Macaca fascicularis: one gene and its partner. The protein of the gene in region 1 interacts with the protein of each later gene in a biochemical or structural test. Links are inferred from orthologs where the notes say so. Each region holds a gene or a part of one and is shown on either strand. Other genes may lie near its edges.

Evidence for each region. The genes of interacting proteins can lie anywhere in the genome.
Region 2: the proteins of RNF11 (region 1) and ZFYVE9 form a complex in vitro, tested with the Homo sapiens proteins (2 studies listed by BioGRID). The link is inferred for Macaca fascicularis from reciprocal best matches to the Homo sapiens genes RNF11 and ZFYVE9.

What each region holds. Positions count from the first base shown.
Region 1 is NC_088375.1:183,467,876-183,473,819, forward strand, and holds part of RNF11 (RING finger protein 11), read right to left. Parts: intron 2,215-5,944; coding exon 2,045-2,214; intron 1,107-2,044; coding exon 935-1,106; 3' UTR 1-934. UniProt on the Homo sapiens protein: Essential component of a ubiquitin-editing protein complex, comprising also TNFAIP3, ITCH and TAX1BP1, that ensures the transient nature of inflammatory signaling pathways. Promotes the association of TNFAIP3 to RIPK1 after TNF stimulation.
Region 2 is NC_088375.1:182,495,286-182,502,022, forward strand, and holds part of ZFYVE9 (zinc finger FYVE domain-containing protein 9), read right to left. Parts: intron 6,541-6,737; exon of another isoform or gene 6,426-6,540; intron 3,177-6,425; coding exon 1,069-3,176; intron 1-1,068. UniProt on the Homo sapiens protein: Early endosomal protein that functions to recruit SMAD2/SMAD3 to intracellular membranes and to the TGF-beta receptor.

The DNA.
Region 1 (5,944 bases):
TACAACTGAGTAATTATTTCTCATTAGGTCTCACCAAGGTGCCACCTTCATTTTTACATAAACGTGGTGGCATAATTCAATCTCAATAAATCAGAATTCTTAATATTTAAAATTTAACTTGACTTTCCATTATCACCATATTAACAACCAAAATAATTAGATAAAACACATAGGAAAGGGCAATATTAAACCCCACTTTAATAGAGTTGGTTTCTTGACACATTAACTTATTTTTTATAGAAAAGGGATAGTGCATCTCAGTTTGCTTACAAGCTAGGAGATCACTTTGAATTCTGCATTTCCTAACTGCAAACAGAATATAGCACTTATAACAGGTTATAAATAAACTGGTTTTCAAGCATAGAGCCAGCCCCAACGATAATAATACACTATTTAAAAAGACCTAAGGCAATGAATTCCATTTCCAATGGAAAAAAAGAACTGTGCAAACAAGCTTAAAACTACTTTTTTGTGTGTGCCAGTGTTATAAAATGTAGCTTTTAATAAAACCTTGACCCAAATGTCAGCAACTTCAGAAAAGAATTTGGGTGGGGAAGGGGAAGAGAAGAAAGTTATTTCATTTAGGAAAAATAACTACTATCTTTTTCCTAATCTTCAATACACACAATTTAAACAAATACAGCTGCTGTAACACTTTACACAATTCCTATGTACTGGAGCAATAACAAGATCTAAATACAATTATATTTTTAAACATTGGGTCAAGGCTTTACATAAAAATACCATCCTACTTTTCCCACTAAGTTTCTAAAATATCACGTACTTTTCCCCCAACATCTGCAGCCATCCAGGAATTTTAAGGAAACTTTTGTGCATGATCTTAATTCCTAATCCCTGGCTCTTTGGGCTCAGTGACAAAAGATCAAAACCACCAAAATGGTGGTTCACTTGAAGTCAGATGAGAGACCCTGGCTCAATTAGTCTCATAGGATGAAAGCAGTGCTGCATCAACTGGCTCCATGCAGGAGGGGCACGTGAAGGATCTCATCAACCAGTCATCTATACAGTCCAGGTGATAGATGTGCATGCACGGCAGAAATCGAATTGGGTCCCCATAAACAAAGTCCATCATACAGATCACACACCTGTTGGGAGCAATGGAGAGAAATCAGAAGGCATTTTCGGAAGTGTCCTATTCAGAAAACTGTTTAAATCCCATTAAAGACAGTGTTAATCTGAGTAACACATCAGAATGCTTTGCCTGTCATCTTATCACCAAAGCATGCAAACTGAATTTTTTCCTAATGTTGATCTATACACAATTTCTTATTTAAATCCCCCGAGAATTTGCAGGACTTAGGAGCAATCAACAGAGCAAAGAGAAATGGATTACATATGGATCAAGTTTACTGCTGTGCTTGTAAACAGCTACATACTATAGCAGATACCTTAAGGAGAATGGGATTATTTTAGGTAGAAAAGCATCAGTTAGATCAACTTTGTTTTTTTGCACTATTTAGTGTAATCCTGGACTAAGACAATTTTCATTTTAATAACTGTAAAACAGAAACACTAACTTCAGCCTACTTACTGGGTTGCTGAAAGTTAAAGCTCTCTTCACTAACTTTCTCTTTATTTATTAATTTAATTTAATTTTATTTTTTGAGACAGAGTTTCAAGTGATTCTCCCACCTCAGCCTCCCGAGTAGCTGGGATTACAGGCATGTGCCACCATGCCTGGCAAATTTTCGTATTTTTATTAGAGATGAGGTTTCACCATGTTGGCCAGGTTGGTCTTGAACTCCTGGTCTCAAGTGATCTGCCCACCTCAGCCTCCAAACATGCTGGGATTACAGGTGTGAGGCACTGTGCCCAGCCTGTGAAAATTTGTAATTACTATATAACATTCTCTTGCTAGTAGCCAGTAATAGAGCTATGAAAAAAAATTAAACATTCTCTTGCATTAAGCAAAGTGTTTCAACATATTAAATGTCTGACTTTCTAAAGTGCAGGAGAAAAGGCAAAATTTTCAAAAGCAACCTGAAAATAAAATTTTGAAATGTACAAATTAATTAAAACTTACTCCCGGATCTTTTTTTCTGATCCATCTCTTCCAGGGTCATAAACTCCTTTAGGCAGATGTTGTATAAGGCCTATTCTTTGAGCTATCCTAATTTGTTCCTCTTCAGTCAGCTGAGTTGCTAGCCGAGTCTGGCTAGGTGTTGGGTGGTAGACTGGAACTGGAACTTGTTCCTAAAATATTAAAATATGGAGGAAAAAGATTATTTTTTCAAAACCTTTTGAGGGCTTATTTTTTAGTCAGAGATAGAAGGGAAAGGGAGCCCTGGGAGGGCAGGAAGCTGGGCTAGTGTGTGGCTGTATTGACTGTGTGTTTCACCCTGCCTCAACTTCAGCTATTGGAACAAAACATACAACAAAACATTCTCATTCTGCCTAAAGGATATAAACACAAACATCACTGAAGAGCTGGCATGCAATGTTAAATGAACTATTTCCATGTGATAAGAGACTAGCCTGGACAACATAGCAAGACCCTATCTCTAAAAATAATTTGAAAAAAATTTTTTAATGGATTGGACTATGGCAAAAATAAATCTGAAAGTCATCTAAGACTCACTTTCCCATTTCATAGGACCAAGCTTGCCTACAGTCACATAATTGACAATACTGAAATTAGAATTCTACTGCTCCTAATCCAATGGATTTTTTACACAATTCATTCAAAGGAGTCATATGTATAACCCCCACCTTTTATTTGAGACAGGGTCTCCCTCTGTTGCCCAGGCTTAAATGCAGTGGCACAAACACAACTTACTATAAACTCAACCTCTCGGGCTCAAGCAATCCTCCAACCTCAGCCTCCTGAGTAGTGGGACCATAGGGGTAAGCCATGGTGCCTGGCCTATAATAATAATATTTAAAACTGAGCAACTCTGATGGAATGAAGCTGGGATGGAGTGTGGCCTAGGAGGGATGAGGCTCCCCATCCGCAAGCCCTCACCTTGGTTACCTTTGCAGAATCCTCAGAATCAACAGTCTGAAAAACACTACTATCTCAGAAGATGAGATTTTCAGTCTGAAGAATTAAATTATGAGATTTCAGTCTCCGCTCAGCTACTTACTGTGATTGCTTGGACCAAGTCCCTTAATGTATTTGAATAATGTATTTGAATAAAGCAGATAACAGCACCCACTTCAGAGAGCTGATACAGTCATGAGGTAACTAAGAGCTTTGTAAATGCCAATATTTGTAAATTATTCTATCTAACATCTCCCCATCGTCATGATTCTACTCATCATGATTCTCCGCTTTGCAGACTTTAAGCTAAGTGCTACTGTCCTTGGCTTTGGTCCTAACTTTCTGGCTTCTCTTTGAATACTACAAACTCTTAGCCTCTGTTGTGATCTCTGCCAGCTCTGAGTTCTTCGACCCTTGAATTACTATTTCCAGTCTAGACTAACTTCCTGAATCTTAGTCTCAGTCCTAGTTGACCAGTTTTGATGAACTGTCATCCACATGCAAACTGGGAACAAACTGGTTTAAGACTTTGGATGATATAAAGGGTCTCTTAAATCCTTGAATCTAACAAACAAAAATAACTAAATTGTTTTAGAGCAAATAAACGCCAACTATGGGTTTTTCAGAGGCTAGATTTCTTCAGTCTTGTGTCTCAGTCTCTTCACATATGTGTAGAGAATACAGAAAGCAGAACAGAAAAGGAAAGTTCTACTTTATGATGAAACATTAATAAACATTAAAGAAGAAAATAAAAACTATATTTTAATTCATGTTATGAGTGTATTTTCTCCTTTGGTATTTTTTTGTTAAAACAAAGGAACCCTCTATGTATCTTTTAGATATTTAAAATGATTCAACAATCTAATTTCAGTTTACATGCAAATTTTCAGAAAACCATAGAAGAAAGGAAATGACTAAGACCTCCTGATATTTTAAAGATGAATGTGGCCTCACCCTTCTTACCACACATGCCTAATTTTAAATTTTAATTCCCATGATACTTGTTTAAAAATGGCTTGATATCTGAGTTATCAATTGTTTTTGTAACTAGAGAGCCTCTGATTTTCTAGGTAGCAAAATGGAATCTTGATTCAATTGTTGGCTAACAGACACTGAGTGAGTAGAAGATTAGACAGGGGTATAAAAACAATTTTAAAAGATGTGATGGCCAGGTGCAGTGGCTCACGCTTGTAATCCCAGAACTTTGGAAGGCCGAGGAAGGCGATCACCTGAGGTCAGGAGTTCGAGACCAGCCTGGCCAACAAGGTGAAACCCCATCTCTACTAAAAATACTAAAATTAGCTGGGTGTGGTGGTGCATGCCCGTAATCCCAGCTACTTAGGAGGCTGAGGCAAGAAAATTGCTTGAACCCAGGAGGCAGAGGTTGCAGTGAGCCGAGATCTTGCCACTGCACTGCAGCCTGGGTGACAGAGTGAGACTCCATCTCAACAACAACAAAAAGATGTGGATTTGGGGGTGGTTCCCACCATTCCCTGCTGATTCTCTATATAAACAAATACTATATGGTTTATGTTCAACACCCGCTTTCCCTCTGAGAATCTGGAATTTTGTCGTATGTCAGGCAGTGGGTGCCTAATCAGTACCTGGGGCACTGAGTCCGCAAATGAGCTTCTCTGGCAGAAAACCTTTCATATATGTTGAAGGAATTAAGCACGTCCTGTGTGATTCCACTAGGAGATAACTCTGGGAAGCTTGCGCTTAGTTCCCTTTGGACCAAAGCACCTTTCCCCTTAGCTGATTTTGCTTTGATTCTTTGCCGTAACAAATCATAGCTGTGAATAAGATTATATACTAAGTCCTATGAGTCCTCCTGTTGAATCACCAAACCTGGGGACTGTTTTGAGGACCTCCAATGCCAGTGCTAGGTTGTGCTTCCACTTTATATTTGCAAAGCTACTGTGTTTCGTTCCCAGCTGAAAACAAATGAAAAAAACAAAAAACAAACAAAAAAAACCCCTAAATATTTTGATTAGCCTGTTTCAGGGCCTAAATATGGATCTAATGATAAAAGGTATACAAACACAACTCACTGCAGCCTCCAACTTCTAGGCTGAAGTAATCCTCCCACTGCAGCCTCCCCAGTAGGTGGGATTACAGGTGGGCATCACCATGCCCAGCAATTTTTTTGTTTTGGTAGAAACAGTGTCTCGCTGACCAGGCTGGTCTCAAACTCCTGGCCTCAAGCGATCTTCCAGCCTTGGCCTCCCAAAGTGCTGAGATTACAGGTGAGAGCCACTGTGCCTGGGCTATCTGGGTAGTTTGATAAGGGCAGGGGCTATGTCTGTTTTGCTTACCAATGTTTACTACCTACTCAGCACGGTATCTGGCACACAGTTGGGACTCAACATAATTACATAACTGAAAAACATAAATCAAAGCACGTATGTTCTTGCAATATACATTATATACATATTATAACTTTGTAGATATGCTATGAAAAATTGCTAATGGGCCTGGCACAGTGGCTCACGCCTGTAATCCTTGCAGTTTGGAAGGCCAAGACAGGCGGATAGTTTGAGCTCAGGAGTTTGAGACCAGCCTGGGCAACATGGTGAAACCCAGTCTCTATAAAAGATACAAAAATTAGCCAGAAGTGGTGATGTACACCTGTAGTTCCAGCTACCTGGGGGACTGAGGGAGCAGGATCACTTGAGCCCAGGAGGTTGAGCTACAGTGGGATGAGATCGCGCCACTACACTCCAGGCTGGGTGACAAAGTGAAAGAAAAAGAAAAGAGAAAAACTGTTAATGATTTGGATTAAATAACAATAACAAAAAGAAAAAAAAATTGCTATCTCAAAAAGAAAAAAGAAAAATTGCTAATGATTTGGATTAAATAACAATAAAACAAAAAAGGAAAACTTGATCTAAATTACACCCAACATTTTCCCAAGTGAAAATACCTGGGTTGTTGCCTCTTCCA
Region 2 (6,737 bases), about 970 kb from region 1:
CAAGAGAACTTCCATGATCCTGTCTCTGCACCCAGACACAAATCACTGAGTCTCATAGCTTCTGTTTAGATGAAATAAATGTTATTTTCACCTAAGTCACTGGGGGTCAAATACTCTGTTCCTTGAAGCTGAAAGAACCGTAATTAAAACAGATGGACCAAAAAATCAGGCAAGAAGGGAGGAAGAGATTAATCATTGAGCGCTATGACTTCTCAGATCTCATTTAATCTTGACAACAGCCCAATAAAAGCTATTAATCTTTTTTGGTTTCTTTTTACAGATTATAAAACTAAGGCTTAGTAAAGTTATGTAATTAATAGTAACAAAGCTGACATTTTATTCTAGACCTGGCACCAAATCTCAAAAATATAAAATCTCCTTCCCTCCTTATTTACAACTCTAAACAAACAAACAAACAAAAAAACTAGATGCGTTTTTAGCTAACAAAATTTGGGGAGAGCTAAGGAATCTCATTCTTACAACCTTGTCATAAAAATCTACAGACTTCATCTCTACTTCGTATCAAAGTTATATAGGAGAAAAGACAAAAATATGTGTGCATGTGTATAAAGAGTTCCAGAATGTTTCGTATAATGGCAAAAATCTCACAGAAAAAAGTGGAATGGATTCTAAGTGTAATATTTTTCAAGAATTAAACGTAATTTTTATTTTTATTTTTTGTATTTAAATGCATTTTTCAATAAATAATGAAATAAAAGTTAATGACAAATATTTCCTAAACTGAAAGAATAACTTCCTTATTTCAAACTATTACATTAACCAAGTAGCTATCAATACAGAAACCACAAAGTTTACACTTCCTCAATTCTCATCTCTTCATAAAAACTGATTCAGCGTAAATCATGGCAACAAAAAAAAAGTGTATATACTATCTAAGAATCAGTGAGGTCATTTTTTATACAGAAATTTACTAGAACTGGGTTTTCAAAAGTGCTATTTATGTCAACTCAACCAGACATATATTCACCTTACATTGCCTTTATTACTATCTAATTCAGCATTACAAAATGTGCATGCCAGATTTCTGAGCTTATGCATGCAACTTACCTTCCCACATGCTCTGCAGTGGTGCCTCCTTTTGGTGAATGTAAACCTGGCTTCACATTTCATGCAATTTGGAGCCTGAGAATCCGGTACCCACACTGGAGCCACCTCACCCAGAGTGGTGAATGGCTTTCTGGCAGAAATTCCAAACTGACCAGCTCTGAGATCATTATCTGGGCTATCTGGAGCTAACGCAAGGCATGGTCTACTGGAGATCTCAGCCTCATAACTTTCTAAATGTTCCCCATTTGTATCAACATTAGAGATGTTTCCCAAAGATGCACCGCATACATTGGTTGCTGAGTTTTCCCCTAATTTTGCTTTCCCAAGAATATCATTTTTATTTTTAGTATTATTTCCACTGTTTGCAGGAAGGTCATTTTGTAAATGGTCTGATAATGGCTTTGGAATTTGAAGTTTAAGATTAGAAGGTTGCTTGGGTCTTGCACCACCAAAAGGAACACTGATAGATGGCAGGCTTGCTACTACCTTGGGGGAAGACTGCCCAAGCACTGATGGAACTTGACTACAGAAATTACGTAAATAATTTTTCTTCATTAGGTCACCAGTGCTATTTAAAAGTAGTCCGCTCCCTTCTGTGGCCTCATTTCCTCTCTGTTCATAAATATTTGAGTAGCATTCTGACTTGCTTTCCTCTATTTCTTTTTCTTCTGTTACTGAATCTTCTTTGGAGGGTAAAGTCTTTGGAACAAAAGAAACACCTGGGCCCTGCATTCCATAGGAATCACAACCATTATATAGAGAATTTGCTGCTGGTGTATCTATAACAGTGGAGAAATCACATTCTTCACTTTCACTGATGCAAGTTCCTTTTAAATCTAGACCTGCATCTGCCAATCCAACACACTGTCCTCCACTATCACCATTAGTGTCCTCAGGCTGACTAATCTGTAGAAACTTTTCCTTTTCTTCGTTTACTTGGCTATCATTCATCTCATTTAGTTTAGTCAACTTCCAATTAGTCATGTCCTGAGATTCAGAGAAATGCCCTGTCATATTAAGGAATTCTGTAGTGCCAAGAATTTCTTCATGTTCATAACCTTCATTTTCATCAGCCCTAACTTCACTAGGCACAATGCAATCTGAAAACCGTTCACAGTCATTATTCCTTCCAGACCCATTAGGCACGTCTGGTTTGAGAAGCAAAGGTAAACCAGACCGGAGGGATTCTTCAGTTGTGCTCTCCTCTGCTGGCTCTTTCTTCGTCAAAATCCCCTCACTCATGTGAGAAAAGGAATTTGGACTCCCTAGATCTGTCCTAGGAGAGCTGATTTTGCCAGTGAGGTCCTCATCTGGTATATAGTTCTCTTGCTTTCTAATAGCAGGACCTCCATCTGTTCCATGGGATGAGATTACTGAATCAACCGTTAAATTTGTAATCGCAGATATGGAGGGGTCTCTACCTATACTTCCATCATCCTTTAATTGTGAAGGGGAACAGACACTGGCTAGACTATCAGATGAAGTAGTACACAGATGGTTAACAGAATTCCCCTCTATTTTCGGTCTATTCAACGGATCCAATTGTTTCTCTGAGTTCATATCTTTTTCAGTGGACTCATTTATACTAAAACTAAATTGATCAGTTTGTCTGTTTTCATTATCCAGTGAACAGCTAAAAGCATCCATAAGGGATTGACTATTATAATTATTACAATCCTGTAAATCGTTTTGTAATGTCCTTTTGTCACAGTTATGCATGACGGCTACAACAAGAACATTCTTCTCATCTGGCAGACAAGTCAGGTTTCCACATTTCTTCTCTCCCACTTCAACAGCACTGCATTGATCATCACGACTATAGTTTCTCTTAATTAACTGATCTTCTGCAACAGCATTTTCATCAATCCACATTGTGGCAATCTCTGGATTTAGATTACAGTCTTGTCCATTAGCACAATGATCCTCTTCCTCTGTGGTCAGGGGAGCTGAATGAGCCAGGGAGAAGACTTTCAGTTGTGGTTGTGACTCATTAGAAACTGCAGATTCATTCACACTGGCCAAAGTAGGGTTAAATGACAGCCGGTGAGAAGAGGGATCTAGAATCTTATTCCACTTTGTATCCAATAAAGTAGAAGAAACTGTTTCATCTGGAAAAAAAAATAAGTAATTACAATAAGTTTGCTTGTAACACTAGAAAAGCTTATGACTAAGTTAATCAACATTTCTAACTATCCTTTGAAAATTAAATATTCCAAGGATATTAGATTTCTAATTCGGGGCTAAAAATAAGAAAACATATTTCAGACAATTCTCTGCAATTATATGTCACCAAATGGTAATATCTCAGACTATTCCAAACAACAAGAGAATTCTACCTCAATCTAATAACATAATTAAACTGACCCACAGGTGAACGGGACCCAGAAGAGGGGAAAGCACCCTTGGATTGAGCAAAGCCAGGACAGGTGCTAATCTAATGGATTAGATGGAAAAAATATTAGAACAGTGGCTAGGATAAGTAATTAAGTAGGAGGGAAAATGAAATTTTCTGTAGAGACTGAATGTTCTACAATCTATATCATAATTGGGATGTGGGTTTGAGTGATATACCCATTTGTCAAAACTGGACAGTTAAGATCTATGCATTCTAATATATATAAAGTTTACCTTTTAAAAAGCTGTAAAAAAATAAGAGTGAAGCAGGAAGTGAGAAGGTGATAAAGGTATAAATGAAACAAAATGGCAGCATATGAAATGCTGTGAAAGCTGGATGATGGGTACACTGGGGTTTATTACACTTTTTACTTAAAAATATTTTAAATTTGCCCAACACATGTTAAAAGAACGTTTGCCACGGTATGTGAAATTCTGCTTGTAACCATGTCACAAGCAGATATTGTATTTGTCACAATACAAAATACTGTATTGTATTTGTCACAATACAAAATATTAATCAGGTTCATATTTATATTATTATCTAAGGACACTGGGCAAAAAGTGTTCATTTATCATATGAAATCAACCTTCTTATAGTCTACCAGTAAGCATAATTTCATATAATGTTTCTGTTTAGTTTTTAACAGATCATAACTACAATGGCTAAGTTATTCTCTCAAGTTACAGGGCTATTGCATATGTCTAAGTAAACCAGAGAAATAAGGAACAATGCATTCAGTGCTTTTCCTGCTTTCTTCCTCCAGTATCTCTGATAATCGTGGCCCTGAAATTATGCAGATATATTTGTAACCTCAATCCTCATCTGTAACATTAATCTTCAATGTTTCCATAGCACCTTAATCAAAACTTTATTAAGGCATTTACTACACTGAAATGCAATAGTTTATTTACCCTTCTCTTTCAACTACTGAATGATTTCTGAAGGCAGAAATCATTTCTGTCAATATAAGTCCTCACTTTGCATAGTGCCTGATAGGTAGTAGATATACAATAAATATGTAAGTGAATATCTACCATAGTAAAATCATCAGGATTGAGGAACATGAAGATTAAACGATAGCTCTTGCCTCTAAGAAGGATACAATCTCATTGGGAGAATAAGAGATACATACAAACATCTAATTAGCAGTATGGAGTAGCATAGGTACAGTAAGTCCTCACTTAACATTGTTGATAGGTTCTTGGAAACTGCAATTATAAGCAAAACAACTCACTGTATAAAGAAGCCAATTTTACTATAAGCTAATTGATATAAATAACAGTTAAGGTTCTCCAGCATACAGTACATCAATTTGCTTAAAGTCACAGTTTCCAGGAACTTATCAAAGACATCAAGTGAGGACTCAGTGTATCTGAAAACTATTATGTAGGAGTAGAAAATAAATTCAGAGGAGAAAGATATTTTCCAGGATGAGGCAAGTGAGCTTGAATTCATGGAGGCAGGAAGAACTGGTCTACGCTTCAAAGACAGTTTTATGTAAGTTTGGAAAAGAAAGCATTAATAAATAGAGGAATAAGGAAAAGCATATCCCCAAATACAAGAATTTAAGGAAGCAATAAGTAAATCAGTTTGGGTTGAGAAAAGAATTAGTGTAAAGAAGTAGTTGTTGTTGTTTAAAAGGGCATAAAACTCAGATTGTGTGAAGAATGGGCTTAGTATCCTCTGAAATGTCAAATCCTGAATTTACCAAATTTGAACCAGTACAGATTTTACAGACATTTGAAGTTTAGTAACACAGGCTTCCTTAAAAGAAAAGAAAAGGAAAAAAAAGCAAATAAGTCATATTTCCAATATGGTTCCTGGAAACAAAAAAATAGTTACAGCTTCTTACAAGAATATTTAGCAATGTTCAAACAGAAATGATCGGGTATTAAAATTTTCATTATTCAACTGCCTCCTACCTGGGCATAATGTTAACTGCCTAGTGTCATCACAGTCTGTGGTATATTTTTTCATTTAAATAAGAAAATAAATTAACACAAAATGAAAAATCATTTTATTTAAAGTATATTCTCTAAGATACCACAAGGCTTGAAGTGGTAGTTTTTAATGCAACTGGTAGTGAGATTCAAAAAAATAGTTCAAACAAATGAACCACAAAGTTACAACGAAGAAGCTGGTTTCAGAAATCCTTCTCCTTCTAAAGGAGTTATTATTTTGTAAGCAATTGCTCTATTTTCTAACTAAAATATTTTTACTGATTCAACAAAAATGTATTGAAATACAACTATACACAAAGCACCCTAATAGAATCTACAGAAGTCACAAAGAGACAAATGTAATGAACCAAGAGTTTGATTAGAGTCAGTGGTATTCTAGCACAGTATTCACATGATTAGGTGTAATACACATCTAGGTACTTATGACTTAAAGAACTGTGATACACAGAGGGCTAAATCTAATAAAAGATTAAGAAAATACTTATACAAACAGTTGAAACTCAGAAAATAATATACTTTCCAGCTTGGTAAGTACAAAGCCCACCTGGATGACATAAAACCCCAAATGATTAGATTTCACATTTACATGAATCAGGAATGAGTCTAGGAATACAGGTTAGTGTTAGGTCATCAATGGTAAAATATGAAAAGAGCAGGCCATTCTGGTAGCCTTCCTCTCTCTCTTCCCTCCTTACTGTCATGATCCCATATTCAATTTAAGACTGGCTCTATTAAAGATCTAAAGCAACAAAATCAAAACTAATCTGTCTTCCCATCTGCTATCAACGAATAGCCTGAATCACTGAATATAGCAAAGGTTTGTAAACCAATATGAAAATCATGGGCTACATTATTTTTTGAGACAGGGTCTCACTCTGTCATCTGGGCCGGAATACAGTGGCATGATCACAGCTCACTGCGGCCTCTATCTCTAGGGCTCAAGTGATTCTCCCTCCTTTGCCTCCCGAATAGCTGGGACCACAGGTGCACCACCACACCTGGCTAATTTTCTTTGTATTTTCTGTAGAGATGGAGTTTCATCATGTTGCCTGGACTGGAATCATGGACTTTGGATGGAAATATATCACTTTGTAAACTTGTTAATGCCATTTCCTGTTAGAAATAGAGAACACAGGGGAAATACAGTAAGGAGGAAGAAATTTAATTATAGCTTACCCATTCAAGTTAAACCAAGAGGGAAATTAGAAGTGAATCTCTTGGCCAGGCATGATGGCTCATGCCTATAGGAGGCTGAGGAGGGAGGACTGCTTGACACCAGGAGTTTAAGACCAGCCTGGCCAACATGGCAA